Linked DNA regions of Rattus norvegicus. Each later gene encodes a partner of the first gene's protein in a complex. Each region holds a gene or a part of one and is shown in the gene's direction. Other genes may lie near its edges.

Region 1 (3,652 bases):
ATTCAAATTAAATTTGAAGCACAAAACCCAGTGTTTGTTGGTAATTAATGTGAGGTTTCTTTAAAGTAATTATTAATGAACATATGTTTTTTTTTTATCATACTTAGAAAAGCAATTCACAAGATCCTTGAGAAAAGTTAAAACGTGTGAGCTATTGGTACCTTTGCCTTATTCTTTGACAAATTCATGCCTGGATACAATGTATCTTCATCATCTTCTTCCCATTTGCTCCTCATTTCCATCTTTATAAATCTGAAATTTGTCCTATTACTATTCTAAGGGGTCCTAGGTGGGATACACAGTTCTAGATGTATTTTTGTTGCAACAGTCTTTACAATGTTGATATTCACAATGACAGAATCCTGAATGCTGAATCTGTTAGAGCACTGTGGCAATGTTAATTGAAAACCAACTAATTGTTTATGGTAAATGATGAAAACCATCTCTTGTCTCAGAATCTTGTGTTTCGAAACTGCGATTGCAGGAAAAGTTGTTACAAATGGGCCTGAGTCACTTCTTGGTTTTCCTTGAGGAAATATTACATCAAAATCTGTAAACTTCTCTCATTTAAAATATATAAAATAGAGAGTAAACTTACCCTGAGTGCCTTCAAGGAACAGCTTCAAGTCTCTGTGCTCATGTCATGTGAGTGAACCTGAGAAAATGTAGAAATCATGAGGTCCAGTGGACAACTGAATATGAAAGATGATTCTGTTCCAGTCTGTGGAGGTCAAGGAGGCAGAGCCTCTCAGTGAGACATAGCTACCTCCCAACCCCCATGGAGTTGGCTGGCTGGCCAGGCATGCCTGCTCAGTGTTAGGAATCCAAGCCACCATGCCTGACCTTTTTCATGTGGTTACTGAGGATTGTCCTCTTGTCTTCAAGCTTTCAAGAAGAGCCGTTTACCAGCTGAACCATCCCTCCAGCCTTCCACCACAGTGAGCTGGTTTCTTTGCCACCACACACGCTCAGGTCTTAAAGTCTTTACAAACAACGGCTGACGGCTCACAAGTCAATGGTTACCTTAAGCATGTATCCATTTTTTTCCCTTTTTTAAGCATAGCCTCTAATGATTTCAAAATGAACCGACTCCTCTCTGTGAAGCTGAGAAAATGTGAAAGATAAATGAGGTGTGATAATCCACTTTAGCTCACAGAGTGTGACTGGGAACCTCTCACAAATACAAAACACTCAAACACAGGAGCCTGTGAGACCATTTTTAATTCAAATCACTGTAGTGAGTTGACGTGTGGACATGTGCGTGCCATGTCTTATACATGACGATCAGAGGACAGCTTGTAGGAGTGGGTTCTTTCTTTTCACCACATAGATCCTGGTTTGATCTCAGGTCACCAGGCTTGGTGGCAAGCACTTTTACTCACATAGCCATCTTGTCTGCTCATGGTACTTTTGAAAGGAAATGTGATTGGAACCTCATAACAGTATGCATTTGTCCTTAAGAATCCGGTGATGACTAAGGACAGAGGTGTAGAACTGACTTGTACACTCCATTGTATAGGTCTCTTGTGTGTATGTGTGGGGTCCAATAGCTAATATTTGTATTAAATGAAAGGATGCAGACTTTCCCACGTCCCACTGATGTCTCCACAGTTATCTTTGGGACTTCAGAAAGCACCTCGCAGCTGCCGAGGCCGACTGCTGTCCTAAGGTTTTATTTACTTCAGTCCATTTGTTTCAGAAAAAGGCTGCGGATCATCCGAATCGGACTCCCTCCATATGGCTGGCCATGTACAGGGCTTTTGGGAGACCGATCCTGCTGAGCAGCACGTTCCGCTACTTGGCTGACTTGCTGGGCTTTGCCGGCCCTCTTTGTATTTCCGGAATCGTCCAGCGTGTGAATGAACCGAAGAATAACACGACGAGAGTAAGTGCACGGCTTTTAAAATTTATTTATCGCTTGTATTAGTTGCTTTTCTATTTCTGTGAAGACACCATGACCAAGGAAACTGATAGAAGGAACAATTTATTGAAGGGATACAGTTTCAGAGGGTGAGTCCATGACCATCACGGTGGGGGGCGTTCGAGCGTGGCAGCAGGCAGGCGGGCAGGCAGGCGGACAGGCAGGCAGGCGGGCGGGCAGGCAGGTGGACCGGTAGGCGGGCGGGCTGGTGGGCAGGCAGGCTGCAGGGTGTTAGAGCTGCAGGTGAGAGCTTACGTCTTGATCCACAAGCATGAGGCTGAGAAAGAGCTAACTTGGAATGGCATGGGCAATTAAAACCTGAAAGCCTGCTCTCTGTGACACCCCTCCTCCAACAAGGCCATACCTCCTAATCCTTCCTGACCAGTTCCACCAACTCAGGACAACTACTCAAACATATGAGCTGACAGGCAACATTGTTATTGAAATCACTACTGTGCGTAGGCATGCGGGTGCCATAGCTAACGTGTGGGGCTCAATGACAACTTACGGGAGTGGAGCAGGTTCTCTCTTTTCACTGTGTGGATCCTGGGGTTGATCTCAGGCCATCAGGCTTGGTGGCAAGCACCTTTACCTGCTGAGCCATCTTGCCTGCCTGGTTCACCGTGTATTTGAAAAGAAACGCATTATTGAAAGATTACATTGTAATTGTCACTTTTTATTAATGCAGTGGTATGAGAAGTTCAAGCATGGTTATTTATAGAGGAATTTAATGTTTTTAGTAAAGCAAATAATTTTCTTTTTTTTAAGTTTTTTATTGTTTATTTAATTTTTTACATTTCCAGTGTTATCCCCCTCCCTGGTTTCCCCTCTGCAAACCCCCTATTCCCTCCCCTCCCCTGCTTCTATGAGGGTGCTGCCCCCCACACACACCCACTCACTCCTGCCTCACTGCCCTGGAATTCCCCTATGCTGGGGCTTCACAGGACCAAGGGCCTCTCCTCCTATTGATGCCAGATAAGACCATCCTTTACTACATATGTAGCTGGAGCCATGGGTCTCTCCATGGGTACTCTTTGGTTGGTGGTTTAGTCCTTGGGAGTTCTGGGAAATCGGGTTGGTTGATATTGTTGTTCTTTCTACGGGGTTGCAAACCCCTTCAGTTCCTTCAGACCTTCCCCCTGACTCCTCCATTGGGGTCCCTGTACTCAGTCAGATGGTTGGCTGCGAGCATCTGCTTCTGTATCTGTAAGACACTGGCAGAGCTTCTCAGAAGATAGTTATATCAGGCTCTTGTCAGCAACTTCTTGGCATCCACCATAGAGTCTGGGTTTAGTGGCTGTGTGCGAAATGGAATCCCAGGTGAGGCCCTCTCTTGATGGCCTTTCCTTCAGTCTCTGCTCCACTCTTCGTCCCCGCATTACTGTTAGACAGGAGCAATTCTGGGTTAAATTTTTGAGAAGGGTGGGTGGCCCCATCCCTCAACTAGGGTCTGTGCCTAACCTCTGGATATGGTCTCCACAAGGTTCGCTCTCGCCTTTGTTGGGTGTTTCAGTTAATATCATCCCCATTGGGTCCTGGGAACCTCTTGCTTTCCTGGTATCTGGGACTTTCTGGTGGCTACCCTCAGTTTCCCATCCCCATTGCCACACAATTTCCTCACCCTCTGTACATATCCCCCATCTTCTCCTACACCTGATCTGTCACCCCTTCCATCCTCCCTCTCCTCTTTTCCTCACAAGTCCCTCCCATCCTCTACCTCCCGTGATTATT
Region 2 (3,509 bases), about 120 kb from region 1:
GTGAGGAATGGTGTCAAAACTACAGTGAAGCAAAGGTGACTTCATCAACCTAACAGTGCTAGCTTTTAGATCACGCTCCTTAGTATACGTAAAGCCTATTGTCTTCCTAGAGAACTTTGAAGACGTACATAACTCTAATTGCTTGTTTTCCATTTCTTTTATAAATTCAATGTCAGGCAAATCATCAAATGTGGAAGCAACTTTTCCTCAGTGGCTGTCCAGCAGTATTTCCAAAGTTGCTTGGCTGCTCTCACTTAAGGGTGGCACATTTTCTCCTTTGTGCAGACGACTTTGCAACATGAGTCAGAAAATAGAAACAATGTTATTTTCCTCATTATTATTCAGCTGACGCTCTGCCCTCATCCCTTCTCCATTGAAGGCTTTTTTTTTCCACTTGAGATTGTGAGACAGGTGTCCAGAAAATATTGTTCTTATTCTGGATAGAGAAATTGAATTAATTGATTAATTGTTAATTGAATTAAACAATATTAAAAACACGGTTCAGGAACCATCTCCCAAGCCATGGACAGACATGGGACTCTTCTCTGACATACAAACCATTGTTAAACTCAGTGTTAGATGTGCACCCTCTTCTGAGGCCTGTTTCTACTGTCTGTGTGTTTCCCATCCATGCCACATATCTCAGGGTGTGTAAGGAGGGCAGAAGTCAATTCTTAGAGTTTTGCATGGACTGTTTTAGCCACAACAGAGATAAAGGGCTCTTTTCCTACCCCACTTGAAAGCAGATGGATGTGTGTGGACTCACACACTCTCCTGGCTTCCTGCCAAAGGGCAGCATGTATTGAGTGCTCAAATTCAAATGTTTGGTTTTCTCATTGTGCCTGGTATTCATAGATAATATTTTGACAGACTGTAATGTATGGTTTCTCTCCTATGAAGTTAGCGAAGTGTGGACCTGGGGTGAGTGTCAGGAATAGCGGCTGTGAAGAAGCCCCAGCAGTCCTGGGTATGCAGCCAGGCGAGTAATTTGCTAACAACAAAATGTGACTCTTCTCAGCCAGAGATTAAACAAAATTACCCAGGACTCACTCAAGTCCAGCAGGAGCCCTCCAAACCCTTGTCTATTCACTTAGATGCGGAGATGTACAACCAGAAAACACCTTCCCAAGAAAATCCTGACACCAGTTAGCTCTTTCCCCTTGCTCCTTTGAGAACAGCAGGCCAGATCTGACAGGACTCACGGATGTAGTCATTATGTATACATAGTTTTTGGGTCACATGAAAAACAAGATAATCAATAAAAACTTCTCCAAATGGAAAAAAACCCAACTCTCCTTATTAAAATACAAATGTTTTCTGGATGACATGTTTTACACCATGTTTTACCACTGTACTGGATTTTGTAAACAGGACAACCAATTACTGGATAATGACTATAATTCCAGAAGCTACAAATAATACAACATTCAGCCATTACCCAGTAGCTTCCATATGAACTCAAGTCTCTCAAACACAAGTAGGTAATAAATAACACTAGCTAGTAGAAAATTCCAGAAAGTAAGTTAGGCTTTGGTAAATGTGAAATATATCTACAATTTATATTTAGTTGTTTTTTTTATAAATGTCTTCACATGGTATATGATCTAGGAAGCATACAAATGGAAAAGGAGAGAGGAGGGGAGAAAGAGAGAAAGGGAGAGGGAGAGGATGTCAGAAGGTTGTGGGAGAGAGGAGGGAGGGAGAAAGGAGTGGGGAGGGTGCTTGTATTAAAAACGAATCTTTCCCAAGTCACTAGGCTGTAGTAGCAAGCGTGGCTCCTCCTGGGCACTTTCCACCACGCCCACGCTGACCTGGCGTTATTTCTGATATCATTCCTTACAGGTCATTCACTTCTGCGTTTCTCTTCTCCATCGAGGTTCAAGTGACCATTGGGTTTGGAGGGAGAATGATGACTGAGGAGTGCCCTCTGGCCATCACGGTTTTGATTCTGCAGAACATTGTGGGTCTGATCATCAACGCGGTCATGTTGGGCTGCATCTTCATGAAGACGGCCCAGGCCCACAGAAGGGCAGAGACGCTGATTTTCAGCCGCCATGCTGTAATTGCGGTCCGTAATGGCAAGCTGTGCTTCATGTTCCGGGTGGGTGACCTGAGGAAAAGCATGATCATTAGCGCCTCGGTGCGCATCCAGGTGGTCAAGAAAACCACGACGCCAGAAGGAGAGGTGGTGCCTATTCACCAGCAGGACATCCCTGTGGATAATCCCATCGAGAGCAATAACATCTTCCTAGTGGCCCCTTTGATCATCTGCCATGTGATTGATAAGCGTAGCCCCCTGTACGATATCTCAGCCACTGACCTTGTCAACCAAGACCTGGAGGTCATAGTGATTCTCGAGGGCGTGGTGGAAACCACGGGCATCACCACGCAAGCGCGGACCTCCTACATTGCAGAGGAGATCCAGTGGGGACACCGCTTCGTGTCGATTGTGACTGAGGAGGAGGGAGTGTACTCTGTGGACTATTCTAAATTTGGTAATACTGTGAGAGTGGCGGCGCCAAGATGCAGTGCCCGGGAGCTGGACGAGAAACCTTCCATCTTGATTCAGACCCTCCAAAAGAGTGAACTGTCGCACCAGAATTCTCTGAGGAAGCGCAACTCTATGAGAAGAAACAACTCCATGAGGAGGAGCAACTCCATCCGGAGGAATAACTCTTCCCTCATGGTGCCCAAGGTGCAATTCATGACTCCAGAAGGAAACCAGTGCCCATCAGAATCATGAGGGCAGGACGACCCTAGACAGCCACTCACTGAGTCCCGATGACTGACAGACCATCCTGAGACAGTTTGCTGAGTTCTGGTGATCGAAGTATCGGACCTGTCGCCAATTCAGGGCAGGAACACAACAGTATTCGTATTTTAAGGCACTGAAAAATATTCATATTTGAGAAATTAAACCTCTTGAATAAATAAACAATAGCACACAAAGCAGAGGGCTCGCGGCTCACACTTGTTTCCTCACACAGACTGCCGCAGCAGCGACACTTTTAGACATTTTTAGAGGCATGGAGTCACATAAAGATGATATCACCTTCTAAGATCCCTGCTCAGGTCTGTGGCCAAAGACAACCACAGTTTTCCCTTTCCTATTCTGTTTATTTGGGTTTTGGTTTGAAGCATTCTTTTTGGCTTGTCTTTCTGAGTTTGGGTTGCCATAGAAACCTGAGCCCTTCCTCTCTGATCCTCCTCTCATCTGGAAACTCTGTTTTCTTCCCAGCAGCCTTTGCCGTCTGAGTCAGTTGGCCTGCATGTCTGAGCTTCTGTCACTTAGCAGAGATGAGATCTTCTACCAGAGCCCAGGTTCATCCCCCTTAACTCCTGAGCCCTCAAGTAAGGGCAGAGTAGAGAGATGTCCTGAATTAACACAGTGTGTGGTGTGGTAAAACATGGAAACTAGGCAGTTGTGTAGCCTTTTAGTCAGAGTTTGGGGCTTGAATTTATTTCATATATGAGCCATTGGACCTCACAGGTCATCGGGAATATGTTCA

Evidence for each region. The genes of interacting proteins can lie anywhere in the genome.
Region 2: the proteins of Abcc9 (region 1) and Kcnj8 are in contact, whole or in part, in a cryo-EM structure (PDB 7MIT), measured with the Rattus norvegicus proteins. Residues at the interface, in XP_038963045.1 of Rattus norvegicus: Phe5, Ile10, Tyr13, Asn14, Ile15, Val19, Asn22, Cys24, Phe25, Ala28, Leu29, Val32, Val35, Phe36, Phe39, Phe42, Pro43, Ile44, Phe46, Ile47, Gly48, Trp49, Gly50, Ser51, Lys55, Gln57, Ile58, Asn129, Phe130, Lys132; in NP_058795.3 of Rattus norvegicus: Met1, Leu2, Lys5, Ile7, Ile8, Pro9, Glu11, Tyr12, Val13, Leu14, Ala15, Arg16, Ile17, Ala19, Glu20, Asn21, Leu22, Leu45, Ala46, His47, Lys48, Asn49, Gly54, Arg55, Phe56, Leu57, Asp59, Ile60, Thr62, Thr63.

Annotation. Positions count from the first base shown.
Region 1 is NC_086022.1:177,362,278-177,365,929, reverse strand, and holds part of Abcc9 (ATP-binding cassette sub-family C member 9), read left to right. Parts: intron 1-1,699; coding exon 1,700-1,885; intron 1,886-3,652. UniProt on the Homo sapiens protein: Subunit of ATP-sensitive potassium channels (KATP). Can form cardiac and smooth muscle-type KATP channels with KCNJ11. KCNJ11 forms the channel pore while ABCC9 is required for activation and regulation.
Region 2 is NC_086022.1:177,240,052-177,243,560, reverse strand, and holds the end of Kcnj8 (ATP-sensitive inward rectifier potassium channel 8), read left to right. Parts: intron 1-1,842; coding exon 1,843-2,743; 3' UTR 2,744-2,869; downstream 2,870-3,509. UniProt on the Homo sapiens protein: Inward rectifier potassium channels are characterized by a greater tendency to allow potassium to flow into the cell rather than out of it.